Linked DNA regions of Drosophila melanogaster. The protein of the gene in region 1 interacts with the protein of each later gene in a pairwise test. Each region holds a gene or a part of one and is shown in the gene's direction. Other genes may lie near its edges.

Region 1 (9,316 bases):
CCTATTGTACTGGTTAGAAAACTATAATTGGTAACGCAGCCATTGGTAAGAATGTCTAATGCGAGCAATTTGCCAAGGGACAATGGCAACTGGGCAGCAACAACAATAGGGAATAACAACAATAGTTCGCCGAAGGGTGGCAGCCAGGTGTATTTGTAATTTACTGTAGCGGGGGGCACCTGTTTGAAATTGTTCGCTGAGGTGACACAAAAAGAAAGCCACTGAAAAAAGGTGGCGAAGGTAGGAGATTGCTCATATCGAAACCAGTACTTGTTGTGCATTGTTCGTTTATACAGGCCAAATTCTGTAAGCCGAATCAAAAGTTGTAAGCATGTTTCATTAGAGAAGATAACATTATCCTAAGTAACATCTTATATTTCGTTTTAAATTAGAAGAATGCCGTGCCTGCTGTTTTGACTACTAAAGGGTGTATTTACATAAAATGTAAAAACATATTTAAATGACATTCATTATATATTATATTTTTTTGAGATTTGATTCATTTACAAATGAATAAGCTAAGTTTAGTCACTGTTTTCAATGTAAAACACGTACGGATATAAGCAGAAAATAAACAAATAAAGCAAGCTGAGTATTTTTGTAAATTGTGTCCGACCTAGCGAGTTCACACTGTAGCTTCACTTGTTCGCTTCTTTATCATTTAACGTGTTTCACACATTTTCGCTTGCCACATAGCGGAGCATGTGTAGATGTTTTTCTGTAATCTTTTTTCCGTTTTTGCATAAATTAATGTTTTTCCACTGAAAGAATGGGGGGCTTATGTGGGGTACACATCGCATATGTGGAGGTTCTTTGGTGCCCAACAGGAAATGGCCAGCACTGTGGATCCACTTTTCGCTGTTGTTGTTTGGCGGCCTGTGGGCAGAACGTCATTGAGAGCGGAGCCACCGTGGAACGAAAATGGTGCGAACGACGCCCACCGAGCCGAAAAAAAAGTATATGCATAAAAAATAAAGCCAACCAGTTTCATTGTTATTGCTATGAATGCAAATAAATTATGAAATAATTAACAGTCAACAGAACCGCCAACGCGAGACCTTGGTTTCAATGGGCAAATCCACGGTGAGTGGTTGGAAAATAGTTACATACTTTCGAAAAGGGTTTGTAAAATATGCCTAGCTTAAGTGAGTTACTTAGCATATGTTCGGATCTGGAGGGGAATACCTTAGGTTCTACTCACCCAATATCATGCGTAGGTGTCGCAGTCGGGAGGCGGAATCCTTCTTGGAGTCCTGCAACTTGGCCGTGGATTTCTTCACGTCGGCATGCGATTTTTTTGTAAACATTTTGCACCTTGTGTTCTTCGCCCCGCGCACTAACACACATCACACACACTCGCTCACTCACACTCGCACACACACTCACGCACATACAGGCACAAGTGCAGGCGGTATACACTTTCTATTCGCTGATTTGTACTGATTTTTCTCCGATTTTTTTTCTCTGCCTTGTTTTTTCTCTGGCTCTTTCGGCTATTTATTTATACGCGCACGCCAACGAAAAAAAACCAAAGAAAAAAACACCTATTGTCCAGCGGAGCGCCCCGGAGAAATTATTTAGCAACGCCCGCTCGGCGCGCGGAGGGGTGGTGCGGGGGCGTGTGTGTGGGTTTCGTCGCTTTGCGCTGCTGTTTATCGCAATTTCTTAAACTTATTCCATTGCGATTTATTCACGGGCACACTCGGCAACGCGCTTTTGCACTTGCAATCCAACGGCTGGCGATTTACAGCGCATTTTTCCAGCTTTCAGCGTTTATGTTTTCTTTTCCATTTGCGTCGCGTCTTCAGTTCTTTTCAGGTTCCGTTCGCTGACTGTGGTTCCGGTTCGCAGCAGTGCTGGCAGGTTCAACTTGACTGCACGGAACTAGTTCGCACCATGAACCAGTCGTTGATTTCAAATAGTGCGAATTATCAAATTTCTTAACATTACAGCTAAGAAGACGTTCTTTAATCAAGTTTCGTACAAATAAAATCATTGTGGTTTTTATTTTGAAAACATTACTAGTTAAGTTCATTACAACAACACAAATAGTCAAGGTATTCAATATTAAAATCTCACGCTTTAAAAATATCAAATATCAAACAATATAATTTTTATGTGAGGCTCACTTAACTGGCATGTCTGTGTTTCACACATAATACTTCTGTGATTCGTTGAACCAATATATTATTTAATCGCAGATAAGAAGCTTGGTAATTAAGTAGCCATTTGGCCAAAGTGACTAGCTTGAGTTCATCCCCAATTCATCCTCAGTACAATGCGATTCCTGCGAAGGCAGACACGTCGACTCCGCTCCATCTGGCAGCGAAGCCTTCCCGTTCGTTTCCGGCGAGGAAAACTCCATACCCAACTGGTCACGATTTGTCTTTACGCGACCGTTTTCCTTAACATACTTTACGGCGTTTATCTCGGCCGCTTTTCCTTCAGGCGCAAGAAGTTTGTGTTTTCCAAAGGGCTCACTATCTATAGCTTATTTGTGGCCACGTTCTTTGCGCTGTTTTACATCTGGAATATTTATAATGAAATTTCCACTGGTCAGATCAATCTTCGCGATACAATTGGAATATATTGTTATATGAACGTCTGCGTTTGCCTATTCAACTATGTGACCCAATGGGAAAAAACACTGCAAATAATTCGGTTTCAGAATAGTGTGCCTCTTTTCAAGGTCCTCGATTCACTGGACATTTCGGCGATGATTGTGTGGCGGGCATTTATATATGGCTTGCTCAAGATCGTGTTCTGTCCCCTTATCACCTATATAACGCTGATTCTATATCATAGACGCTCCATTTCGGAAAGTCAATGGACGAGTGTAACGACCACGAAGACCATGTTGCCACTGATTGTTTCCAATCAGATAAATAATTGCTTCTTCGGCGGCCTGGTACTTGCAAATTTGATATTTGCCGCGGTGAATCGTAAGCTGCACGGCATTGTCAAGGAGGCCAATATGCTGCAGTCACCTGTCCAGATGAATCTCCATAAGCCCTACTACCGGATGCGTCGCTTCTGCGAGTTAGCCGATCTTCTGGATGAGTTGGCTAGGAAATATGGCTTCACTGCCAGCCGCTCAAAGAATTACCTTCGGTTCACGGACTGGTCCATGGTGCTATCGATGCTAATGAACCTTCTCGGTATCACCATGGGATGCTACAATCAGTATCTGGCCATTGCGGATCACTACATCAACGAGGAGCCTTTCGATCTCTTTCTGGCCATTGTTCTGGTCGTATTTCTGGCTGTTCCCTTCCTGGAACTCGTCATGGTGGCTCGGATAAGTAACCAAACCCTCGTGGAGGTGATTGTCATATGATTAAAGTTTTGAAATACTTATAACGACTATTTGCAGACCAGGAGAACTGGAGAACTATTGCAGCGATTCGATCTGCAGCACGCCGATGCCCGTTTCAAGCAAGTGGTGAATGCTTTCTGGCTGCAGGTCGTCACCATCAACTACAAGCTTATGCCATTGGGCCTCCTGGAACTGAATACCTCGCTGGTCAATAAGGTATTCTCGTCAGCTATTGGAAGCCTGCTGATTCTCATTCAAAGTGATTTGACATTAAGGTTTTCTCTAAAATAATGTGGTTTGCATGACCTTTCAAGATTAAAAAGTATTTAAAAACACAGCGATTTAAATGTGGGCACAACTTTTTGAAAAAACCGCCTTAGCACAGAGTCAAAAAAAAATCTTATCGATAAGACTCATATGCGCGTTACTACTGATGTTTGTGTAAAACAATTATTTTGTTTTAGAACGTAATTTTAAGAAAATAAATTTAATTTGGTAACGAATTATTTAGTTTTTGTGTCTTTTGAGCATACTTTAAAGTCATAATGCGATTTCAAATATTCCGATAACACTGAAATAAATCAATCGACTCAGTTACTGGACAACTTATCGATATCGAAATCGATATCTATATTGAAAGTGAAAACTTCTGTAGACGGAATAAATTCAATTAGCTAAATTCGTTTTTAAGCAGTTTCTTTAGAATCCAGTAATAATAAACAATCATAAATCATGTGCGGCGGTTTCACCTGCTCGAAAAACGCGCTAATTGCGCTCAACATTTTGTATGTGGTAAGCGCAAACACAAACAACATGAAAGGAAAAACAACAACAGTTGTGCAAAGGCAAGAGCAGGAACAACAAACACGGAAGAGTAACAATGAATAAACGGCAACAGCAGCAACAACAAGAACCACATTGGAAAATGAATAATTTGATTTTGTATCATTTCGGTACATAAATATGTATTGATTTTCCTTTGCGGTGCCAGGTGCAATCTGCACGTGTGTGTGTGCGTATACATACCTTTCCGCCAATTGTTGTTGCTGCCCTCAAGACGAGAATCCTTGAGTCCTTTTTCATTTGCCTCCTTTCTTTCTTCCTTTTTTTTGCTTTGCCTGTGTGTGTGTGTGTGCGAGCGACCCCCAGATGATTGGATTCCTGCTGATTGGAGTGGGCGTGTACGCGCGTGCCGCCTCCATAGTGACCAACCTGCCGATTGTGGGCGGGATCCTGGCCTGCGGTGTCATCCTCATATGCATATCCATGCTGGGACTCGCCGGAGCCGTCAAGCACCACCAAGTGATGCTCTTCTTCGTATCCTTTTTCCTCAAAGCCTATCAATTTACAATATGTATATGCATATGTACATAGCAGGCAGCTACAGTCGTGGTCAATGAAATAGCAGCGCAAGAATATAGCATTAAATTATCAATAGGGTCTTTAAATGATAGTTAATCGTTCAAAATATGAAGCATATGAAAGCAGTGATCTAAAGCATCAATCACCATCAAATAGGTTAAAATCAGAGATCTAACTAAGATACTGCTTGCAATCATTTCTTTAAAGCTTAAAACACTAAATAGTTGGTAGCTTCATTGCAGGACCTTTTTCATATCCTAGCGCTGCTATTGTTCTGACCGCTATTGCGGCCCACCACGAAGGTCGTGGCATGTGGAACAATTAGCGTACTTAGACAAGTACCCACTTCCGCAGTGAAAGCGGGCCCGTAATGACTGAAATTATGAGTGGGCCTCAGTGGCTGTAGCTGCCGCCTCGCTTTTTGTGCTTCCATGACGTCAGCTGGAGGGTATCACAACGTGACCCCCAGTGGAAATATGGGAAAGCAAATGTTATATTTTGTAGAAGCACTGCCCGGTTTAGCCTTAACCTTTAGACTCTCCGCGGCTTCAGTACATGATCATTCTGTTCATGCTGTTCCTGATCCAGTTCTCCATCGCCAGTTCCTGCTTGGCCGTCAACTCCGAACAGCAGCAGCAGTTCGCCGAGCAAGGATGGATGACGGTGCCCACGGATTTGCGCAAACAAGTGCAGGATAGTCTGAAATGCTGCGGATTCAATGCCACCGCACCGAGCACAACTTCCGTGGTTCCCCCGTCCAATGAGCCCTCGTGCGAGCTGATCAATCAACAGTGCTGTGCCCACTCGTCCGAGCCGGACTGCCGTTGCGAACCATGTGGACCCCTACTGGAGGACAAGATCGACTATGCCTTCAAGTTGTGCGGCGGTCTGGGCATCTTCTTCAGCTTCACTGAGGTAATGCGCAAATAAACGCATATCTGATTTAAGTAATCAAATTTCCTATCAAATCAATCCCTACATGCTGCAATTAGTTCGTCGGCGTCTGGCTAACAGTTCGCTATCGCAATCAAAAGGATCCGCGGGGCTTGCCCAGCGCTTTTCTCTAAATTAGAAGCTAGTCGAGAGAGAGATAAACATTTTCCAGATACAGAAACATTCGAAAATTCTTTAGTGCATGTATATCTGCTCTGTCTCTGCTAAATGTTTAATGTTGCGATGAAAGATTTCATGGCCCTTGGGGCCGACATACCATACATATACAAGCATCCTTTATATTTATACCATCTACATATACATATATACATACATATATATTAAATCACATTGCCGCAGAACTATGTACGTAATGTGTTAGTTCGTAATTGATATACAACTTTAGACATATATACATATTATAGAGAGATATATATAGAAGGAGAGAGCAAAGCGTTTAACCCAAAAAGCAAGCAATCAGTTAAGAAACATATTTCCCTTTACTCTCAACACACTTTCTTTAACACTTTCGAAAAAAAATTGTACTAACACCTGACTGCCTACTCTTTGACTAAGCAAAAAACCAACTAGAGACCAAGGGTGAGAATTGTTTATATGCTGGCTTTAGTTTTTCTTTTAAATTCTATAATATCTGCTGAACACTGTTTAATTGATCTTCCTTCCACAGGTCCTGGCTGTTTTCCTGGCGCGTCGCTACCGCAACCAACATGATCCTTGCTATCTGCCCGCACGCGCCGTCTTTCCGCACGATTATTTATATTGAACAGGCTGAAAATACAACAAGGAAGTGAAACATTTTAGTCAAAGGGACGAAGGCTGAATTTTAATTCTTACAATCGCGTTTCCTAACCAGAATCGAATCCAAACTGGAACAAAAGATTACTCTTAATAGAAGGAGAAGGAGATGGTGGAGGAGTTATACATGTGCTCAACGCTGCTGCTATTAAGGATAATTTTATTTTACCATTCTACATGCTATAAATGCACAATGTTATTTAATTACAAAACCTCCATTGAGATTATGTTTAGATGTAATAATGTAATCTAAGTTTAACCGTTTAAAAGTCCTTAGTTAGCTCTTAATGCCTTTCTTTGCAACTCGCAACAATCATGAACGACTCGACGTGACTCGACCTCCACTCAAAACTACTGTACCACTACGAGACAAACATTTCAACAACCTGATCTTACTGTAGAACTAACAACCAGTCAACAATTGTAACTAGCAACGTAATAAGTATACATCAACCTATATACAAACGTAATTGCATTATTGCCCTCAAGGCGTATAAACAATACTCTAAATGTTAGCTGTGTGTTAAACTTTAAACTAGCGAGAAAAAATGCCCACAAAATAACAAAAAAAGAGTAATCCTCTATACATACATGTCAACAATTATACAAGTCTTTATGGATAAAACCCTACACATAAGAAAACTGCTTCTTCGAATTTTTCACTTCTTTTCCGCACTAGCTCGACTTTCTCTGCAGCTTATCCTTCTCGACTTTTGCCCTCGCCAAGCGCCACCAGCCGTCAAAAACAGATTGAAACACATCACACCCAACACGCTACTCCTCTACGCACACTTCACACTCACATGAAAATAGTTTCCTTTCCAGTTTCCTTTCGAGCGACAAGTAAACCATTAGATAATATTCTCTGTATTCTGTGCTGTGATTGAAGTAAATATGATCTTTAAAACAACATAAGCAAAACGAAAGCGAGTCTTGAGTTTCATTTCCCGCCTTTCCCCAAACCAAATTAATGAGCGACACTCCCACTTGGGAATTCGCGGTTGGGATATCATTAGCGAAGGGTCTCGGCTTACCACAGGCATCCTTACTTGCCACAAAAGGTGGCGGAATGGATGAGGGCTGTTCAGGTTGAGGAAGCATAGGAATTTGTATGATGGTGTTTTCCATTTAATATGGCGTACTCGTTCCTATGCTGAACTTAATTTGTCTATTAATTTTGAATTTGATTTATTTACTACTTTTATGCAATGTTTTGTTGAATGAATGTAAACTAACAAATATCCCATGCAGCAATAAAATGTTGTATATTATGTAAATTGTGTTTTTGATTTTGTCAAGTTTCTTGTTTATAAAATATTTTAATTTTTAACCATTTGATATTACAAAATGTTTTGTAGCTGCTTCTAGCGATTTGTACCCACAGCACAAATCGTGCCCGAACGCCATAATCATCATAAGCGCTGGAGGAGATTAACGCTAGCGCTTAGTTTGTCGCCTCTCTGGGCAGGAGTGAGGGGTGAGCCCAATGAGCAAGGTGGCCCACACACTCAACGAGAAAATGGCCAGGGAAGAATCTCACTCAAAGCTGCGTTGAATTGGGCCAAGTTCAACGCACTGCGATGCAGAAAATTTGTTTCTCTCAATGAGAAGAGAAGAGAGAGCTGTGCGCTTACGTAACGAGCACTCAGTCCAGGGGGCGGAAATCCAGGGGCGGCGTTTCCGCTTTTGCGTGTTGGAATGTGGGCGTGGTGGTATCCTGTATGCCGGGTTCGCCCCAGCCGCAAGTTCCTCGCCCCAAAAACACGCTTGTCTCATTTCTTGGTAGGCTTTGTTGACACTCGCTGCGGAAATGGTCAACAACAGATGCGACTTCGTCACATTTTCCTGCCTGCAAAGTGAAATGGAAATGGAAAATTCATCCAAAGTGTCGTGTCAACGAGGTGGGGAAACATCAGTATTTATTTGTCAAACAGATCAACGAAATGAACGTCTGTGTGGGAGGCTCTTGAGAGAAATATCCTGCAGGGACCCAGTGAATAAGAAGCAATGCACACTAAAAATAAAAATATCGATTCAACAAATGAAAATATAGTACATTTCTCTGCTTGTGTGCCCAATAAGCTGAAATTTTAAATAATATATTCGATTGCATACCTTGATGTCCTACAAATGTCGCTCAAAATGAACATTTACATGTGGTTTCAATATGACATACCAGCTTGAAAACTTTAGTTTTCCAAACATCCCTTTGCCTAAGCTAAATGTGATTGACCCTTTTATATTCGTAGTGCTTGACACGCGCCAGATATTAAAATTCCTAATGGCTGGGCTGGGTCCTTATCCCTAAATCCACCATATGCCGGGTTCTCAACTGTTGAGCCAACGTTGCGTATGAGCGATGTCTTGTCAATTGCGTGCCCCATGAGATATAAAACGATGTGATTCACGGCATAAAATACTGATGATTATTATTATGCAGTGGAATGGAAATTTCAGGGCATGTCTATTAAGATTTCTTTCTTGTCACTTGAATAGATGAACGTTTTTTAGCTCCTTCGAAGCGGAGCCGTCGCTCGATTGTCGAAAATCCATGAAGGCGAACCGTTTAGTCACCGTTTTACTGGCACCAATCGCTCTTCCTCTTCTTCGCTGGAGGTGGGTCCATTCCGCCCACCGTAGCTCGTAATTCGAATTTACTGCCCATGTCGGTGTCGTGTCATGTTGGACTTATTATCTCCGTCTGAGCCGCAGTCAACCATGGCGATGTTTTGGGGCACGAATGTGTGGTATATACATAGGACTGTATGCGATAGAGAACAGGCGAAATTTATTTGAATGTCAATGTCAAGTTAAAGTCAAGCCGCCTATTGATTACATTTAATTAAAACCACCGGACTGATGTGATCTCATCTGAAGGGAAAATTTACA
Region 2 (6,811 bases), 3.9 Mb from region 1:
AGTCGGTTTGCGGACCAGTCTCCGATCAGTCGAGTGGACCACCAATCCGGCGAAGATTGGGCGACCATGCTGAACGGAAAATTCTACACGGGCTTGCCGCCCAAAATGGTGGAGCGCCAGGCGGTGAAGGTGTGCAATCGCCAGGAGTCGCACTTCTTCTGGCCAGACGATTCCCGAGCGGATTCCGCGGTGGAAACCCGAGCAAAGAGGAGAAACAGCCAGCAGCTGGAGAGGCCTGTGGAAAGGATTACTTCCAATCAGAATGTATCCGACGAAGTGGACACACGGCGAATGTTTCACAAGGAGTTTGCCAGTTCTTCCATACAGTTCTATGATAATCTGCAGTCTAATCCTGGAAATAAACCTTCATTGGCAAGGGGTCTACGCAGAGAAATAACCCCAAAACTAACCGAAGTGAGACCGCAGGAATCGGATAACAAAGCTGAGGACACCAGCAGCCGTCGCCAGCAGGCTTACAGCTCCAAGATCCAGTTCTACGATTATGTAAACGAAGCAGATAACCTAACTCAAAATAACGCCAGGAGACCACAAATGGACTTGAATGACAAGCGCGAAGTGGAACTGAATTCCAAGAACAGTCCCAAGCTGCAGGTCAAAAGAAATGTGCGCAGTTTCAGCGTGGAACTGGAGCCCAAGGTCACCAAGAAACCCCTGAACGACAGTCCCGAGTGGCGGCGGCCACGCCCACTGCCCCTGCCCAAAAGGATACTGAAGCAAACGTCACAGGATCAGGACCCGTACGACCATCTGGAAAGTCGAGTCCGAAGATTGCAACTAACCCGAAGTCCCGGACTGCCCAAAAAGCATGTGACCTACAACGAGGAGGCTGCCGAGTACGCCTACTACGATGATCGGGTGGATCGCGATGATCGGGAGGATCGCGAGGATCGTGAGGAGCCCACCTACGAAACTCGCTACCGTCAGCAGCCAAATATGCCGACAGGAAGTCGCCAGCAGCAGCAGCAGCAGCAACATCAACGCTCTTTTATGGAAACTAGTCGGAGCAAGCCATTAAATAATAATAATAATTATCAGGCCAACGGCAATGGTAGGAAAATCTTTCCAAAAATGCCACAGACCCAATCCGGAGTGGGTAACACACACACTATCGACGAAGATCCCCCCGTGCCCTCTGACCCTCGCAAACACCTGCGCAGCAGCCTCTGCTTCAGCGGCGACGCTTTGATGGTGGGCGGTACGGCGTCGCAGTCGCCGCCCACTGCGCAGGCGCGTCGCAGCTCAGCGGGGCAGAGAGTGAGCGTGGGTCTGCCGGACTGAGGGCTCCAGTTCGCGTGTTCAGTGATTAGTGCAGCTACACAGTGAGAAATGCAAGTGCAAAAACATATAACTGAAGCGATGAAGAAGATCATACAAGAATATCTGCTTGACAATCATTAGGATGAAATAGTATTACAAATATTTCTCTATGTAGTAAGTCGACAGCAACAATCTGCATTGCTAATTGAAAGCCAACAGCGACTGCAACAGAAGCAGCAACAACATCTGCAGCACAACAGCCACATCAGCAGCAAGTTGATGCGACAGCAGCAGCTCAACCTTTTTTTAGTTTTTACTTTTACGATCCCATACAAACTCTGAATTCACCCACATGCGAATGAATGAGTCGGCTTTTTTGTTGTTTTCGAGCGGTTGAATATACATACATAAACAAACCTTGATCTTGACTAATTTGTCGGCGATGCTGTTGTTGTGCACCACGATCATGTATTAATTTAGCTTTTAAAGCCAACGCAGAAAAATCTATAATTATAATGATAGAGATATGCTAATAAACTAATACATATATAACCAAATAAATTTCGAATCGGGAAATATTCAATTAAGCCTTAAAAACCTACTATAGGCACAGAAAAATATACATGGGCACTTAATCAATTCGTTTGGTATTCAGTTTTCAAACTAATAATGAAAGAGAGTGAAGTTCAAGTTGTTATATATTTATATCGAGGTAATCGAAAGCAGGCGCACATTGAACTTGGAAAGGCTTGCCATGAATACAACGCAGCTATTCATTGTGTGCATTGTGTGAATAGAAACTTATTCATACCTCAAGCTCACTGATGGGCCTGTAATCTGTTTGGCAATATTATGAATCGATCTAGTATGTAATTCATAGACCGTAATGTAATTCGAGGCACCCTTTCGCGCGGCTTTTCTTTATCGACTCATTTGAAATTCCCAACAATTTGCTAGTCTGGCAATCAAGTCCGTTGCTCTGGGCAGCTCACCTGGCCAGCCCATTTTGGGGCTGGGGCTGGGGCATTCGCAGGTCCCTGCCCCTAGCTCCTTTCACAAAACTTTCAGAAAGAAAGAGCCATTGAGGTGGCATTGTTAGGAGCCAGCGGAAATCCAACCAAGCTTGCAGTCAAGTTGAAGTCCAAGTGCCAGTTTAAATCGCGACTGGTGGGGTTTCCGAGCGGTTTCACAAGGAAACGGGGCATTATGCGGCGTTGCAACCAATTGTCACGCGTGTTGAACTTGAGCTTGACCTTGTCTTGGAACGGGGTGTGGAATCCAACCACCCATTGTCCAGCCAGCAAATTGCAACAAGTGCGGCAATTATCCAACATATGCCACGGGGCTGCAATCAAGGCGGCATTAGCCGGGAATTTAATTAAGGCATCGCTTTAATTGCCGACAATCTGCAGCTGCCATGGGAACCCAATTCAAAATCCAGAGACAGGATAAGCGTGCAAAATAATTGTGCAAATGAAGCGTGGTGAAATGTTACGCAACTCCCTGTCCATATCCACTGCCATTTCTCAAACCATTTCTTCGTCCATTTCCATTTCCACATCCACATCCACTTCCACCAACTCCGGGACAAGACAAACTGCTCAACCTCCGCTCATGTACGTCCATACGGCATACATCTTCCGCATTTCGATCGCGCATCCTGGCCGATAGAAAGTAGTCCAAGCGTGCCGGCAAAAAAGGCGAAAGGGGCCAAAAAGCAGCGCCAGCTGGCTAACATTTCCTGGCTCGACTTGGCCCCGACTGAACCTGAACTTCGGGCCAAATGCGGAGAGAAGAAAAGTGCAGCGTTTATTGGGTAATACTCGTGGAAACCCGTTTGCCGCAAGACTGATTTAAAAAAGTCGATAGGATAGGTGGTTCTTCTGCTTTTTAGTGGGTGGGTGGCTCGTGCCGGTCGACGTCATACACATTAAAAAATTGTTGGTGTAAAGTGAGCGATTGTAATAGTTAAATATTTAATGGAACGTAGATATATTACCATTTTCGATTATGATTGTTATGATTATTAATTAGCAATTGTAAGTTTGTTACTATCGAATAAAGGCATTCCTTTTAGTTAGCTGTATATTAACAAGTTTGAGGTCAAATTACGCTACTCAAAAAAGCCATCAATCTTTGCCTATTAACTATATTGTCGTACATTTTGCATATCTAATTTGCTTACTTTCCTATTAAGTCACATACCACAACCTAAGCCCCCTCCACAGTTACAACTTCGAAGAAGTAAATGGCCATCGTTATGTGTAATTACGGCCATAAAGAAACATTTTATTTATGCCCCCTGCCCCATCCGATAAGTTGGCGCTCTATTTCCTAGTGGAAATGCAAATAATGCCTCACTTTGCGCGCGGTAAACTCTTTTTTTTTACTCCATGTTGTTGTGAGTAGTAAGTCCATGCGTGAAGCGGAGATTTCGATCTGCTACTGACTAGCTGCTCACCTGGCAGGTTTCAATTGCGATTGCCATTGCGAAACATGTTGCAGCAGGTTCGAGGAAGCTAGCATAAAACTGTTGCGTCCGTTGGCCGAACTTTCAGTTTCGTTGGGGCCACGCTGGTGGTTAATACCATTGAAGAGAGTTTTCACAAGACGCAATCACCCCGAAAAAGCCGCCACCCAAAATGAAAGTGTGCTGGAATGTAAGCTGTTGCATCCGCAATCGTAGATTCACAATTAACATGAAATGGATACTATCTCCTTAGTTCTTTGCTGCGGCGGTGCTGTTAGTGACGGTCACCTCGGGGCTGAGACCCCCACGATCCTACTATCGGAGGAGCTACTTCAGTGCAGTGGGTTCAGGATCTGGGCACGCACCCAGCTCTCTGCCAGGACCAGTGAGAATAGGACCCGCTAGTTACTTCCGTGCCGATCTGCAAACAAATGAGAGCAAGCACCGGCCACTGAGCAAAAAGTATCCCAAGAAGAGCCACTACAGACCCTACGGATCGGTAAGTTGGCCTAACAAATAAGATATCAAATAATAGGAAAGATCTAAAAGCCCGAAATAATACAATATTCCCCTAAAATATAGCAAGAGGAAGAGGACGAACAACGCTACAATTCCGCGGAATATTCAGGAGAGTCCTCCGTTCAGGATAGTCGGGAATACACGATTGGCACCCAAATTCGCGTCCAGCATCCCATAACCGTGCCCAAGAAGTCCAGTTCCGGCTACCAGAAGCAGCCAAAATATGTGACGGCCATTCCATACAAGGCATCTGGTTATGGATCCGATATCCACAAGCCCTCCGGTTATGGATCCGATGTTCATATTGGATCTGGAGAGGATGTTGGACCTCCTCCGAAAAGATCGAAGTGGACCCCAGTGCAATACGAATCGGAAGCCGATCCCTTCCATCTAGTGCCACCTCCAAAGGCAACCGTCGCCTCCAGCAGCAACTCATATAGTGTTTATGAGCCCGAACACGATGACTACGAGGTGGTTCCAGTGCCCCGACCAAAAAGCCACGATCGCTACAAAAGCGTCGCCTCCAAGAAACAAGTAGAGGCCTACCTAGAGGATCAGCAGAAGCTGCTCGACGAGGCCATCAAAGTTCAGCTTTTGAACAATCCGAAGCTGCAAAAATTCTTCAAGGCCCAGGCGCAGGAACAGGAGCGGGAATCGCGGCCAGACCTCGAAATCGAGGATTTTGAGGCCTATCCGCCCAACTTTTCGGGGCCCGGACACCTGCGCAACAAGTACATCGAACACCCACCATCTTCTCCGCCGAAGGGATCTCGATCACGCCGGCGTCCTCCAAGTGGAGATCTTAACCGACCACCCAAGACCATCATCAAACCGAAAAGGAAATACCGATCCACAGCACTGGTCATCAATGTGTGAGAGGGATTACTAAGTCCTGACTTAATCGTTAATTAAAATATCGTTTATAAATACTTAGAGTAGTCTTGTTGTACAGAGTATTTTTAAGTAATAAAAGACCATTTATTTTAAATGCCCCTATTTAAATGACTTTATCTTGGAAGTTTGGTGTTGATATGAAAGAAAATTATGGATATATTTTGATGCATTTAATTTATAATTTACGAATTTTAACATACGAGTTATTTGGCGCTTAGGAGCAGTTAAGCATAAATAGTTGTATATTTTATAAAGTGTTTTAATATACTTTTCTGTTGTATCTATCAAGAGAACGGTGGCGGTCTCTATCGGTTTTTGAAAGAAGTATAGAGTCTCGGTTCTTGTCTCAGCTAAATGTATGGTGTCCCGGCTTTTCTACCATTTCATGAGGAGAATTCGTCACCAAAGTGAATCCGATAAGGAGTGTTGCTGGCTTATTTGCTTAAAAAAAAAAAGATTATATCACTTAACTCAATTGCAAATAACCTTTCAATTTAATGATGTTTTCAAGTTTATAATACGCCACTTTAATTAAATATATTAATTACTCATCAATTTAATTGGATTCTGTATTCGTCACACCCACATCGCCATAATTGGAGTGAGTTCCACATTTCACGACAAATTCTGGCGACGTTTACCTTTTTAAAAATAAACGCAGTCAATCATAAACGTGTGTTGTTCATAAAAATAGACGTATTAAGAACACTTTGGAAGCAACACACCCATGAGACACCTGTTTCGATCCCAGGCAAATTCTCGACTCTTACCTCTTTCGCAAATCCGAACGAAAATCCGCAATTGAGCAAGCCAATTCAATCGATTGCGATTGCCGCAAAAGTGGGTGCACAAAGGCACGCGGAGAAGAAATCATAAAAAGCAATAAGTAGCAAAAAACAAAACCGAATTGATTTTCTTAATTGACTAAACAGTTTCAACAGAAGCCAGACCCCAAAGCCAGGCAAAGCAAAAATCCAAACTCCAAGCCGGACCCTCGAGTCCACAACAAATCTGACCTTGAAAGCTAAGCTCTGAAAAGTGTTGCTAATATTGTTAATGTAATCGTTGTCGGTGGTGAAAAGGAATGCCAACCAATGGATGTGGAAAGTACAGAGGGAAAAATGCTAAAAATAAAGACAACAATAAAATGCTAGCACTAAAAATATTTAAAAAATAAGTAAAAATGGAATCATGAATAAAATATAGTCAAATTAGAATAGATTTTGAGAGATATTGAATGAAATCAATTATTTCAGCATGCCCTGAATTAATTTATTATTTCCGAAGTAAATATATAGGTATAAGTGCAATTAAATAATAGAATAGCAATCGGTGCTCGAATTAAGTTGTAAACTATAACACACATATGCTGAGAACTCAGCAGGTGAGAGGAAATAGCAAATTAGCTGGCGGCATTCTTGCGTTCGATGGTGCATAAAATATGCAAAACATTTGGATGTTATTAAGTTGCACTAACGCAACTGGAGCCTGACGGATCGCAATACCATTGGGAATTGATTTAGAGCCCCAATCCCCTAATGAACCAGTGCCACCCCCACTTGCACATGGTTTTCCGGCTTAGCCAGCACCAGCACACCAGGCTGATTTCATTTTCATCGGAATTTTGCACAATTGGCCAAGATTACTGTC
Region 3 (7,973 bases), on another chromosome or scaffold:
TTTTGCTGTTGCTCTCCAACTCACCTGGCTGCCCCACAAGGTGGCAGCAGTGTGTTGCAAGGTGCACTGTGAAAAACGGGGGCTGTTTGGCTATGTTAACAATGAATGCCTCTTCGAAACTCTATACGTTTGTGAATCGCCCCAATGAAATATAAACTAACCCAACTTTAAATTGCTCTCGTTTCTCGCAGTGCAGGTCCTTGGGGAGTTGTCAGGATGTTGCCACTGCCTGTATTTTAATAATGCATCGAAATGAAAGTGGCTGTCAACTGGAGATTTGACAGCTGCTTTATGCCGGCGACAAGGATCGATGATGGAATCGCAATAGAAGGTAATAATGCCCATTGGCATCCTGTCAGGTGCGTAGACAGACTTGCCACAGATTATTTCACTTAGCTCCCTGGATAATGTGAGATAATTAGGCGGTGGACTGGAGAGAGGTGAGTGGAATGGAGTCCACGGAATCGGCGGCTCATTAGCACATGGCACTCGAGGAATACCCCGTGGTAGTCCACACTTACTCATAAATGCCATAGATCTTTTCGGGGGCCACCAGCTGGCCCACTTGATGGCATAAACAGATTGCATGGGGCTCGCTTTGAAGTGCGAATTACCCGCGGGGTCAACCGCAACATGCATGTACGTATGTACATATATACCTCTTTATAACTGAACAACAGGGCCGTGAAAATGGAAAAGTTGGGGGAAAATGGATGAAAATGGGGGAAAGATGGGGCTTCGGTTTCGCTTTTGGCCGTAATACATCTTGGAAATCTGTTTAATGGGCCGCACGGCCACTTGAGAGGCTTTTTGAAGCTGTTGCTATTTTAATGTGGTCGATATTCTAAATTTAAACAAATAAACAAACATCCATTGCGCTGCTGTTGAAAGTTTATTGTTGTTAAACCTGTGCAGCAAAACTGTTTGATATTCCTTTACGTTTGCCCGGTTGAGTAGCCGATAATTTGGCACTTAAAACGTGCGAAATTCATTCACATTTCCATTTCCACTTGATTCATTTTGGCCGGGAAACCAATCAATGTGAGTGCTTGGTTTATGTTTTTTTGTTTTCCACACCCCGCCTCACCAAAAACATCCGCCCAGCTTGGCTTTTCCGACCGACTCCAGCCACCTCAATCCGCCTAGAAAATCGAAGAAAACTTTTCCTGCGGCTGGAAATCAATATGAGTAATACGAAATAATAATCCACGAGATTCCCGTGGTTTGGGGGCCACTCGAAAGCCAGCCATTCTCGATTTGTGTATAGATTGCTCTTTTTGAAGATGCCAAATAGCTGCGAAGGCGAAGTTATCACTCAATTTATAGGTTTTTCAAGTGCAAATGAGGTGCTGTCAGGCGGGAAATGCTACAAATGATTCGAGTTATTCGAGTGAATTAAAGTTGGGCAATTTGTAATCTCATATTTTAGATACAATTAATTCTTGTTTTCTCAAACATATATATAAATTCTTGGTTATTTAAAGATTTCAAAGAATATTTACCTTTTAACTCCTTCAGCGAACATTAAAAAAAAAAAACCAAGAAACCGCCCAAGTCTGCAAAACACAAATCAATTGCAGTTGCCAACAAACTCAATGGCTAAATAAATTATGGTTTTCGCTTACCGCTATCGACTTCAAACCCGCCATTAATTAACACCAACCCTTTTGGCCAAGGAGCTGAATCGAAATGGCCGCGATTACTCGAGTGTCCAACACCTGTTACCAACAAATAAGGAGCGCAGGGTGGAGTAAACTACCGCCGTCACAGGTCAACAACCAGTTTATTGCTCACGCATTTCATTTCAGAAATCTTCTGGCGTTCCGAAAGTCATCATTATCATCGAGGATGCTGGCAGAGATTGGTGGAAGGGGATGCTGGAGATGGAGCTGGAGCTGTAGCTGGAGCTGTAGCTGGTGCCATGCAACTAGTGTCAAGAATCGCATAAATTTCCGATTCCGGGACGCCGAGTGTGCCATTTAATGGCCGGCAAAGGTCACGTTCACACCGCCGTAATGGCTAATGGGCAAAGAGCGGGTCCTGACAATTCAGGTAATGTGGATAATTTGCTGTCAATGATGTGGAACGAAGGGGCCCGGCTCTCTCTGCGGTCCTCGCTATTTGTTGTCAAACAACACGGCAGCGGCATCATCTCGGCATCTACTCCTCTTAATAGTCCGTGCTGCATTTTACGGCGACTATAAATAGGTTCTACTAGATGTTAATGCCTTCCAATAAACGCAGGCTCATGGGGCATGTGGCATGCGGCATGGGGCACCCCATCGATTTTTGACAAATCACCGCTTGTCGAGCACAGCCACAAATCCATGCTGATCGATGATTTGTTGTCTTTGATCTCGGGAGCAAGCCACAGTGGTGTCGAGTGATTAAATCAAATTTTGACAAGGTGTCGACTGGCGGCACTCCGAGTGTATTTGCCGCAAAGTGTGCCTGAAGTTGAAAATCTTACAGTGGAGCTTCATAAACAGGCACTGTACGGGGAGTACCCAAGTACCTAAGTTTGGCTAACAATCTTAACACAGCGGATTTGAAGTAACTAAACTTTGAGTATCTTAACATGCAAAAGAGTCGAGCGATGTAACATGTCGCTTTCTCTCGAGGCTCTACTGTAATGTATCTCAGCTAAATGCAAGCAGTTCACAGCATAAATCAAGCGATGACAACGTGAACAACAACACCGGTAGTCACGCACTAAACTATAACTATAACTACGCGATTACACACAGCGATTAAGTTGCGGTTGGGGAGCTGCGCTGCGACTAAATAAACAGGATCCGAGGCGTTTTATGGCTTAGTGCGAGGGATATGTCAAAAAAGATGCGGTGAAATGCATAGGAAAACATAGTTTCACAACGAAAAACATCGATCGGTGTTCGAAGACGAAATCAGACCAAACCGAGCTGGGCCATAAAAAACAATATTTGTTTCCAATACTATTCCCAGCATAGGTCTAAAAATAAGCAAGCTAAACACGCAGGGCAGCGACATCTTCGAGAGAATCGGAGGACCATGGGCCATAGGATAACCCATTGTTTTATGACCCATTCTCACCAGCGGTAAGCGATCGTAAAATTTGAATAAATCGGGAGAGAGCGTGAAGAATCCTTTGTGGCATTGGCATCATCCACACATGTGAACTTCAATTGCTTCGGGCATTTTGGATTTTCAGTTCTTCGATTTGCGTTCAATGTTTTTATTTCTTTCAAATGATCTCTGCTTTCTACTTGAGAACGGAACGATCGTAAAAATCGAGCGTAGTCCTGTTTGAAATGTATACACAATTGTTTTACGACCTTTTAAGATATAGACCAAGACTTTCGGTTGCATTCGGAAAATTGCGTACTTGACTGCCGCGAGTTTACTCTCGCTTTCCTTCGTTCGCTCGGAAAAGTCGTAAAAATCGGAAGGCAACTGCCACGAGATAGCATGGGATGTCAAGGGACCAGATAATGCCGACTTCTGGCATTATCTTGCCAGCTGCTATCCGGTGGAATGTATAAACGGAGTGCTTCTTGGAATCGCTTTATTTAAATAATGTTTACAAACCAATTGAACTGACGAGTTATCAAAGCTCTTTAGTGAGTGCTATCAAGAGATTTGAAAGTTATAAAATGATTAAACATCTAAATGAACTTTTTCAAGCCAGAAAAAGGCTAAATTAGTGACTAACTCACGCAATGATTACATACATACATATGTAACCTATCATAATACTGCAGTATAATCTTTTTTAATAACTGGGACTAACGATGTACGCATGAGATCCTAGAAGCTTTACATTATTTCCAAAGATTTAAAAATTCCCTTTCAAGTGCCCGTAATTCAAGTGTAAACTTTGCTCGATTTTCATTTGTTGAAAAATCAAAATCTACATATTATTCAAAACACACTGGGACTCTCCCACACTCACTCACACATGGGGAAAAGGTCTTGACTCCGCCCATCGAGGAAAATACAGGCAAATGAGAATGGACATAAATAAACATGGAAAGAGTAGAGAACATATTTGTAGGAACGCCCCCTCAAAAGAGAGATCTGCCATATAACGGGTATATGCGAAAAAGATATAGTATAAGCAAGGATATTAATTAGTAATGATATAATCAATCTAAATCTAGTACTACAAAGTTAATAACTGAATACACTTAAATATTAACAACATCATCTTATTATATTATAACATAATAATCTCAAATATATTATACTTATTTCATATTTCAATTTATTCAATTTCTTCCTTAATAAAATTTAAATTTTTCAAGGAAAATTGTTTTCCCCTCTCTGAGAACTTACGCATGTGTGGATCTTTTGGTGAGGGTGTTTGCATATCCCTATATTTATAGACCAATGCGCTGCTCTCCCCCAAAAACACACACCCATAAGATTGGGATGAGGCATTACAAGTGATCTGCGTATCCGAGTTCATTCATTAGTCGATCGGACTTCTTGGCTGACGCAACACATGGTCCACAGTCGCGCTCGAATCGCCCACAAAATCGGAAGTAACAGCTAACCGGAAAACAGGACAAAAATCCTAAATATCTAACAAGTTAATGTGAAGTGATATTCGAAACAAAGTTCCCGAAAGATACATAAAGAGTATAAAAGAACTTTGAATCAAGTTACTGGGATTTCGTTTTGAAAAATGTTACCCTCTTGCTATGCCAATGGATCGATGCTGCCGGATAATGAGGAGCTGGTCAACTCCATGCTAGCGAATCCGGATTATCTCAGGACCCAGGTGTCACCCAATCCGCTGGCTCCAAGTGCCGTCGGAGGTGCGGGCATGGAGGGTCTGATGTGCGGATCGTTTTCACCGGCCTTCTACTACCAGGGCATCGATAGCTTTCTGGCCCTGCACAACAACATCTGGGGATTGCCTATATCCTTTCTGCACAACTCCCATCGACCGGAAAAGCCTCCTTTCTCCTACATTGCCCTCATCGCCATGGCCATCAGCAGTGCACCCAACCAGCGACTGACCCTCAGTGGAATCTACAAGTTTATCATGGATAAGTAAGTTAATTGAACAATACAAAAATACGAGATCTTTGATAGATCAATAAGTGAATTTAGTTTGTAAATCAGCAAATAAAATTTCCAATTTCTGTACATATATTCTACTAAAGCTCTTGTTTTTACAATCCTACAAAAATAAATGTTCCGCCTTGTCTTAAATCGAGGAAAATTTAGATGACATTCTTGGCTAAATCAAATGCCAAAATAAACAACCGCCACATTCCAAGTATCTGTACAAACCAAAGAAGTTTTTATCCCGAGAAGAAGTTTTTATCACGAAACTTTTGCCACAACTGGGATTAAGTCGGTGAAATATGGAGCATTAATCCAATTTCTTAATGTGAAAATATATAAATATCACGCAGATTACTTGGTAATTATCCATATGAAATGGTTTCATTTATTGGCTTAAATTTATTAGTCATATCTTTAACAAATATTAAAATATATATGTATATATTTCCTTTCCTGAATGAACAGAGTGCATAAAAAATGGCGGCCAGATATATAAAATAGATCGCAAGTAATTTGAAAAACAGGAAAATGAACAATGTGTTTGTAAACTAAATATTTCCGATTTCTTTATCAACATAAACAAATATTATTTTTATTGCTTTTTCAAATCGCTTGATTTAAACAAACCAGCGGAGGATATAGATATGGGCTAATAAGATGTGTATCAACAGCAAGTTTTTCAGATTGTAAAATGATTTTTATATATACAAATTCAGATATTCAAAGCTGTGAAATTCTGAAGTAAATAGTTTTGATAAACACGCATTCGATTTATATTTATAAAATATCTTTTCCATTGTTAATTTATTGAAAATAAAGTATATATGTTTACCCTTTCAAAATTTGATAAAAATGTCAAGGAAATATAGCTCCTAATTAATTAATTAATTGGATAATATCCAATTATTTTTTAGATTCCCATATTACAGGGAGAACAAGCAGGGCTGGCAGAACTCCATTCGCCACAATCTGTCCCTCAACGACTGCTTCGTGAAGATTCCGCGGGACAAGAACACAATCGAGGATAACGACAGTGCTGGGAAGGGAAGCTACTGGATGCTGGACTCATCGGCATCGGACATGTTCGAACAGGGAAACTACCGCCGGAGGAGAACGCGCAGGCAGAGGCACTGTGGCCATCCAAATCGCTACGAGAGGGAATCGGGAAAGGTATAATGCACATCTAAAAACTCATAAACAAATCGAATAAATGAATTTATCTGCAGGATTCAAATGATGGCAACAGTAGTGCAGCAGAGATTCGCTCGCCCAGCGAACCGCTGAGTGACTTCGATATCTTCTGCAACGAGCGGCCCAATTACTCCGACAGGATTACGGATCTGCACAGGCAGTACTTGTCCGTATCCCTGGGCTTCAACAGTCTGTTCAACAACGAGGCCCGCGGACTCCGACCACTGCCCGAGATCAGGGAATGCCCAGACGATGTGGACGCCTCGTCCAGTTCCAGCAAAGCAATGCAAAGTTCCATGGAACTGCACGAGGAGCTACATTCGCCGAGCGCCTTTACTCCTCCTCTCAATCGACGGGAAACCTCGTCATCGGGTGCACCTGTCCTTGCCGAAGCTTTTAATGGCATCAAGGATGTGGTGGATGCACCTGGGAGCAGTCCAGTGGCCAGCAGCAACCGATCAAAGACCACGCTGTTTACCATCGACAATATCATTGGCAAGCCATAAGCAATGCACCTCTTTTGGCTTAATTATCTTAATTTAGTGATAAATATTCTTGCATAAAATACATAAAAGTGATGGAGTTTTAAAATATAGATTGGTTTGCATTGGCCGTTTTCTAATTGCAAATTGAGAATTGAATTGAATTAAGCTAACTTCTTTTTGGCGGTAAATTTCAAATATGAAAGTAGTATTTTAGAGTGACCCTGCACTCTATGGCATATACTAATACGTTGAACTAGTTCCATTCAACAGGGTGAATATTTAGTATTTGTAGCCGTTACGAGCAGCGGGAAACACAGCAACACTGAGTAAACATATGTTTTTGTAGCGTAATATAAATAAAATAGCATAACACAAAATGGAATTTTTACACGAATCCGTTGCACTGGGCGTGGATCTGCTAATACTTGGCCTGTGTGCGCGCGAGTACGTGCACTACAAGCGAACTGCCAAGGTGCTGAAGGTGCGTATAGAAATACTAATGCACGTAATAAGTGGCGTTTATTGAGTGAACTGCTGCTTTTCAGGCGGCACCACAATACAACATCGATGGAGACCTAAAATCGGTGGTGGAGCGGCAGCGCGACAAGAAGATACCATATGCGGTAATCCGGGGCACAGTGACGCCCATCGGGGTGCCACTGAGGAGCTCCCTGGTGCCCAGTGTGAGTGGAGTGCTGCAGATTGTGAAGCTGCATGAGCACAGGGTAACGCGCGGATTCGCCGGCTTCTGGACGGAACAACACAAGTTGCTGCACGAATCCGCCAACGAGATGCCCTTCGAGTTGCGTAACCAGAGCCATGGTGTGGAGATTGTGGACGCCTTGAGTGCCGCCGTCTTGGACGTGGACGTGGTCTACGACAACTACGAGCCCTCCAATCTGTCCCTCTTCGACCATGTGTTTGGTTTCTTCTCTGGCGTCCGTCAGAGGGGATTGCAAACGACGGAGGAGGTGCTCAGAGAAGGCAGCTTCCTGACCGCTATTGGTGAACTGGAGTTGGATGGCGATACTCTGCGCATGCAGCCCTCCAATGAGGGACCGCTCTTCCTGACCACTGCCACCAAGTCCACGCTTATTAAGCGGTTCGAAGATGCCAAGACAACGACGATGTGGGTGGTGCTTACTCTGGGTGTATACTCTTAATACTTTCTACTTAATCCCTTCTAGACTCAAGCTGGTTGTGTGCAGCACCATCTCTGCCATCCTGGTTGCCTTCATTGCC
Region 4 (6,104 bases), on another chromosome or scaffold:
TTACCTCGGTCTAATCAGAGAGTAAATCGTTTGCCCATCTCTTAAAACCAAATATTATCAACAAAAAACGTTTGCCCAACCATTATTATTAGTTTTTATCGTTTGCCCACCCTTTAAAAAACCTTTAACAAAAATTTTTTTTCGATTGCCCACACTTGAAATACAACTAATTTCGTTAGCCCACCTCTTCAAAATAAAACTTTTCAATAAAAAACGTTTTCCCACCATTTAAAAATAAATAATTTCGATTGCCCACCTTTTAAAACTAAATAATTTCGTTTGCCCATCCTTTAAAATTCATTTTTAACGTTTGCCCACCCTTTAAAATTTGTTTTTTTCGTTTGCCCACCTCTTAAAAATGGTTTTTTCGATTTTTCACCTATTAAAACTAAATTTGTACATATGTACATATGTAATAATTGTAAGATGTGGCGCCAAAAGCACAGTTACTTACAAAAGAACAGTTATTTACATATTTACATACATTTTCAATATATCCATAGTGTTAATCATTCATGAATTGTAACATCAATTTTTCTTAATCATTGTTTCATTTCATGGAAAATATTTTATTCCAGAATTTTCTTGAGCTTGGAGAGTGTTGATAAACATACATACATTTTTTTGCATATATATTATATTGCAATATAAAATATTTTCCATGAAATGAAACAATGATTAAGAAAAATTGATGTTACAATTCATGAATGATTAACACTATGGATATATTGAAAATGTATGTAAATATGTAAATAACTGTTCTTTTGTAAGTAACTGTGCTTTTGGCGCCACATCTTACAATTATTACATATGTACATATGTACAAATTTAGTTTTAATAGGTGAAAAATCGAAAAAACCATTTTTAAGAGGTGGGCAAACGAAAAAAACAAATTTTAAAGGGTGGGCAAACGTTAAAAATGAATTTTAAAGGATGGGCAAACGAAATTATTTAGTTTTAAAAGGTGGGCAATCGAAATTATTTATTTTTAAATGGTGGGAAAACGTTTTTTATTGAAAAGTTTTATTTTGAAGAGGTGGGCTAACGAAATTAGTTGTATTTCAAGTGTGGGCAATCGAAAAAAAATTTTTGTTAAAGGTTTTTTAAAGGGTGGGCAAACGATAAAAACTAATAATAATGGTTGGGCAAACGTTTTTTGTTGATAATATTTGGTTTTAAGAGATGGGCAAACGATTTACTCTCTGATTAGACCGAGGTAAACTTAAAAGCCTTATATTTTCTAAAGTATAAATTTTTTCAAAATTCTAAAGGGTGGGCAAACGTGGGCAAACGATGTTATTGCGATTTAAAAAAAAAAAATTTGAAAAAAGCGAAATTTTTGATTTTCGAAAATTTTCGAACTTTTTCGAAAATTCATATCTCAAAAACTGGACGTGGGCAAAAAAAACTAATTGGTGGGCAAACATGGGCAAAAAATGGGCAAACGATTCCAGCTTTCAAATTTCAAAAATTCGATTTTTCCGACCCCAGCTTCTTTGAGCTGGTAATGGACACCTTAATGATTCTGATCAAGCTAAACTACGAATTTGTTTTGATTTTTAGCTATAGGTATACATTCATACTCCTCAAACAAGCAGAACTATGTATTTGTTGCTTATAGGAACCCCCTGTTTTATCAATGAAATACGACTTCTTATCTGAAGATATAGCCCCTCTAAATCCAGGAAAAACTCACCCATAGCTCGGTGCCCCAACTCATGTTGTTGGAGTTTTGCGCTGAGTTTTCCGATTCGGCCAGTTTGTTGTTGCTGCTGCTTCTGCTCGATCCGCTTGCCACTGTATTTGTTGTTGCCGTCGTTGTTGTTGTTGTTTTAATAATAATAATCCACAGAAGATAATGTAATCCACAGACGATGAGGAGAGAGGGAGAAAGGTAGAAAGCGAGGGAGAAGAGCAAAAGATGAGAACTTTTATTCGTTTTTGTTTTATATTTTCCCGCAAAGGTTAATTAATTTTATGGCTGCTTTTTCGTTTTCATTTTCCGTTTGTTTTTCTATATTTTTTTCAGCGTTGCGCGGCGCGATGTTTAATTTTCTATGAAAGAGAGCAATTCGAGTCAGATATATTTCATTTTTGTTTTTTTTTTTTTCGGTGGTTGGGCAGGTAAGAAAGCATGTAAAAACAAAAAAGAGTGGCAATGCAGACGTGTCAGTTGCAGCGGCAGGTAGAAAAATGAAGTTGAAGGAAATTATAGATAATGAGAATTTAAACACTTTTTTTGGGAGTTGTTTAGTGATAAGTGCAAAATAAGAAAATTCTATGCACTGGCATTTCGATGCGCAAAGAGAGTGAGGAGAGAGAGGGAGCGATAGAGATAGAGAGCGATGCAACTGCATTTCATAATTGAGAAAAGCAGAAAGAGAGGACAATTGGAATTCTACTATTGTTGTATTTACATAATTTCGCACACACACGCACACAAGTAAACGCAATTGCCGAATGCACGCACTCTGCTTCTAGATCTGCCACCGTTTTTTTTTTTGTTATTTGTGCTAACTTTTTTTTTAGCATTTGCTTTGCAGTTGCAACTTCTTTCGATTTTGGGTTTTATTTAGCGCCTGCACTTTCGCATGCGTCATAATTCGGGCGACATTTGCACACACACACAAGCACACAGTTAAAACACCCGCACTCACACAACGCAAGCATTTGTTTCTCCTTTTTGGCGTGCGAAAAAACAATTTTATCCGCTCGCAACTTTCCGCTCGTTTTTTCACTTCGGCATCAATACACAGTGTGACCGCAATGTGTTTGAATAGGCACACCTCTGCGTTTGCAGTGTGACCAGAGACCGATGGCGACCTAATTTCTAACTCTTTAACATCTAGCGGGGATATGAACCCATATTGAGAGCAACTGTAAAGTTTAATTATTATTATATAAAATATATGAAACTTTCGTTAATACGTGCCCCCATTTTTTTTTATAATTTAACGTTAATTGTAGACTTTTTAAATATATTATTGTGGCCTTGAAAACTAATAATTTTATGGAATAACATAACGTTGAAACAGATGAAGAAAGCTATTATTGAGCTTGGAAGAAACTTCTTATTATTGTTTATTGCTTTTAAAGTAACAAGAGCATCGCTTATTGTTGTATATAATATATTAATTTGAACATTAAATTCACTGGAGCAATAGATTTTGGCACACTGTAAGGTGTAAGCATGTGCGCCAGGCGCTAGATCATTTTTAGTACTTTCCTTGCATCAGCTGTTAACACTATCAGCTGGTGGGTCAACAATTACATTAGATTTACTAACTTTTTAATGAATTAAAACTTGAGAGAAACAACGTTAATATAAGAAATTAAATTCCTTACCAGCTCATACAATTCACCGGTCACAATGCCTTCTTACGAACTAGCACTGGTGCTCCGCCAATTGCCTCGCGTGAGTAGCACATGAAATCCACCGGCAGTTACATAAAAGTAAATAAGAATTGTACACCGCCCGCAGCCCGAACTGATTTCCGTGATTAGGCGAACGGCCGAGTCCATCCTGGACAAGGGCGGCATTATCCGGAAGCTGGAGAACCTGGGATCCCGCGCCCTGCCCCACAAAGTCAGCGAACACGGGGTGGTTCACCGGGAAGGCACCCACTTCACCATCGCCTTTGATACGGCGCCCACTAAGATCGCAGACTTGAAGGAGGAGTTTGGCCGCGACATCGACATCATACGGCGCTACATCTTCAAGGTGGAGGAGCCCGAGCAGAAGCCCTGCACGCTGCACGAGGAGATGCTGCCACCCGCGTATCGCAAGGATGTGCAGGAGATCATTGCGGCCGCCCAGAAGAAGCAAAAGAAGAAGTTCAACTACAACTCCGGCCTGGACTACTATCCCTTCCAAAAATAAAACACCAAATAAAACGCGTTAATTATGTATGCTAAAACCGGTTGTGGGTTCCTCGATCTTTGGCTAATTCAAACTGAAGCATTCCTTATGAAATGCGCCTGTTATCTTAGTACTTTTCACAATGTTTGTCTTTGTTTGGTTTATGGCGCCCAATCGGACGCTTATCAATTAATTGATAAAGCTCCGTATAATCGACCATCAATAGAACGTAAATTGTCCAGGTAGTGCCTCAAGAATCGTCGAGCAGTTCACTAGTACTTCCTCCTGACCGCAAACGACCTAGAAATGTCACCGCAAATCCGTCCACTTACGCCAGAGCTGCAAAAAGTTGCCAAGGAGCAGCTCAAGGAGGATCCCGAACGTCTCGAAGCCGATCTGCAGGCGTTTAAGACATGGATCGAGCAGCAGCCGCATCTAAATCCCCGAATGGATGATCAGTTTCTGGTGGCTTTCTTGCGCGGCTGCAAGTACAGTTTGGAGCGGGCCAAGTCCAAGTTAGATAAGTACTACACGCTGAAGACCAAGTATCCGGACTATTTCCGAGTTACCAACACCACGGATAGCAAGTTCCGGGAGATTCATCAAACGGGGTAAGGATTTTGACGCCAGCTAACTAATTTAATTTATCAATGCAATTCTGTCAATTCAGTGCCATCATCTACCTGCCCACTCCGCTGAATGAAAATGGACCTCGCATCGGGATCTGGCGCATGGGATTGGTGCCAGTGGAGAAGTACACAATGCTGGAGTGCATGCAAGTGGCCCAGGCAATGCAGGAGATTGCCATTTTGGAGGACGACTACGCCAATGTCAATGGAGTAGTTTTCATTATGGACATGAAGGGTGCCACCGCCGCACACTTGTTCCAGATGACGCCGTCGATGGCCAAGAAATTCACTGTCTTCTCGGAGGAGGCACTTCCACTGCGTCTGAAGGCACAGCATTTCATCAACACCATCACCGGATTCGAGCAGCTGTTCAACATGTTCAAGCCAATGATGTCCAAGAAAATGCAGTCTCGCCTATTTGTGCACGGCAACAAAATGGGGCTCTTGACGGAGCAGATTCCACTGAAATATCTGCCCGAGGAATACGGCGGCGAGAATGGCACCACGCAGGACATCGTGGCCGCCATGGAGAAGAAGTTGGACGAGTACGCCGATTTCTTCCAGGAAAATGTGAACTTCGGCACCGACGAGAGCCTGCGTCCCGGAAAACCAATCGATTTTGAGGGGCTTTTCGGAGTAGAAGGTTCCTTTAGAAAGCTCAACGTGGACTAGTTTCAGTTTGTAACTTTAAAGATTTTATTTTCTTATCAGCCAGTTGAAAAAGTTGTCCAATTTAGTGGCTAGAAAACACATTCGCATCAGTTGAATTGTAAAATCCAATAGTAGGAATGATAATATAGGAATACATGAATATGCTACGATACTTCGCAGCAGTTTTAGGTTTCTCCTATATAAACATTGTCCTTTTAGCTTTTATTATCATCTGTAGAAGCAGATCTTTCGCTGCCATTTAGTTGGTGCGGATTTGAATATCTTTCTTCGGTCCAAAGACTCTTCCAGGTACTTTTGTATCTGAAGATCCACATCAGATCGCCACTTAAGTTCCAGGAAAAGAGGGAATATCTCTCCGGCTTTTTTCAGGCGTCTCTCTGCTTTCTGATAGCATTTCCAGGGCTGTGGTTCCACCACCAGGAGCTCTGCCAGATTGGAGAGCTTTTGCAGAAAGAATCGCAGGCCTTGATCATGGTGATTCAAGTGAATCCACATGGTAATGGAGTAGCAGCAAATGGCATCAAATTTCTCGAGATTATTCACCTCCATATAGGTTTTAACGGATTCAAAGGCTTCATCATCGAGGACATCCACGCAGGCGTAGCTCACATCTTTCGGGGATTCATTCTCCTCGCTGGCACGTTGAATCAGCCGAGGGTCTATATCCACACCTAGAACTTTCACAGATCTATGAAGACGTTCCTCCAGATATTTATGCATGAGTTGAGTGAGTACGCCGCAATTGCAGCCCACATCCAGGATGAAATAGGGTTTATCCTTTTGGGTTTCTCCATCCTCCAACGCAGGAAGCCATATGTCCGCGTCTGGTAAGAGTTTCACGCGTTCTGCGGCGGAACTGAACTGATAGTAGTTGAAGAAGTTGCCATATTGAACCGCGCCGGGATCGTTGTTTCTAATATCCATATTTTATAAGATTCGTGTTT

What was found.
Region 2: the proteins of Tsp97E (region 1) and CG15545 interact in a two-hybrid assay, tested with the Drosophila melanogaster proteins (one large-scale study listed by BioGRID).
Region 3: the proteins of Tsp97E (region 1) and FoxL1 interact in a two-hybrid assay, tested with the Drosophila melanogaster proteins (one large-scale study listed by BioGRID).
Region 4: the proteins of Tsp97E (region 1) and mRpS6 interact in a two-hybrid assay, tested with the Drosophila melanogaster proteins (one large-scale study listed by BioGRID).

The regions. Positions count from the first base shown.
Region 1 is NT_033777.3:26,959,435-26,968,750, reverse strand, and holds Tsp97E (tetraspanin 97E), read left to right. Parts: upstream 1-3,933; 5' UTR 3,934-4,048; coding exon 4,049-4,108; intron 4,109-4,465; coding exon 4,466-4,633; intron 4,634-5,230; coding exon 5,231-5,593; intron 5,594-5,670; coding exon of another isoform or gene 5,671-5,745; exon of another isoform or gene 5,746-6,211; intron 6,212-6,299; coding exon 6,300-6,395; 3' UTR 6,396-7,687; downstream 7,688-9,316. Other genes in the region: CG5521 (uncharacterized protein), read right to left, coding at 1,202-1,307; Gr97a (gustatory receptor 97a), read left to right, coding at 2,279-3,322, 3,374-3,607.
Region 2 is NT_033777.3:30,869,390-30,876,200, reverse strand, and holds CG15545 (uncharacterized protein), read left to right. Parts: upstream 1-3,849; 5' UTR 3,850-3,920; coding exon 3,921-3,938; intron 3,939-4,001; coding exon 4,002-4,247; intron 4,248-4,330; coding exon 4,331-5,143; 3' UTR 5,144-5,262; downstream 5,263-6,811. Other genes in the region: CG15546 (uncharacterized protein), read left to right, coding at 67-1,299.
Region 3 is NT_037436.4:4,014,428-4,022,400, forward strand, and holds FoxL1 (forkhead box L1), read left to right. Parts: upstream 1-4,450; 5' UTR 4,451-4,666; coding exon 4,667-5,037; intron 5,038-5,969; coding exon 5,970-6,225; intron 6,226-6,281; coding exon 6,282-6,752; 3' UTR 6,753-6,852; downstream 6,853-7,973. Other genes in the region: Mul1 (mitochondrial E3 ubiquitin protein ligase 1), read left to right, coding at 7,108-7,212, 7,277-7,860, 7,919-7,973. UniProt on the Drosophila melanogaster protein: Transcription factor. Coordinates the placement and migration of various organs during embryogenesis, including the salivary glands, hemocytes, germ cells and Malpighian tubules.
Region 4 is NT_037436.4:4,361,331-4,367,434, forward strand, and holds mRpS6 (mitochondrial ribosomal protein S6), read left to right. Parts: upstream 1-3,219; 5' UTR 3,220-3,255; exon of another isoform or gene 3,256-3,348; 5' UTR 3,349-3,370; coding exon 3,371-3,415; intron 3,416-3,481; coding exon 3,482-3,880; 3' UTR 3,881-3,913; downstream 3,914-6,104. Other genes in the region: Cip4 (Cdc42-interacting protein 4), read right to left, coding at 1,697-1,797, 2,418-2,532; CG33514 (uncharacterized protein), read left to right, coding at 4,166-4,470, 4,530-5,160; CG11342 (uncharacterized protein), read right to left, coding at 5,368-6,084.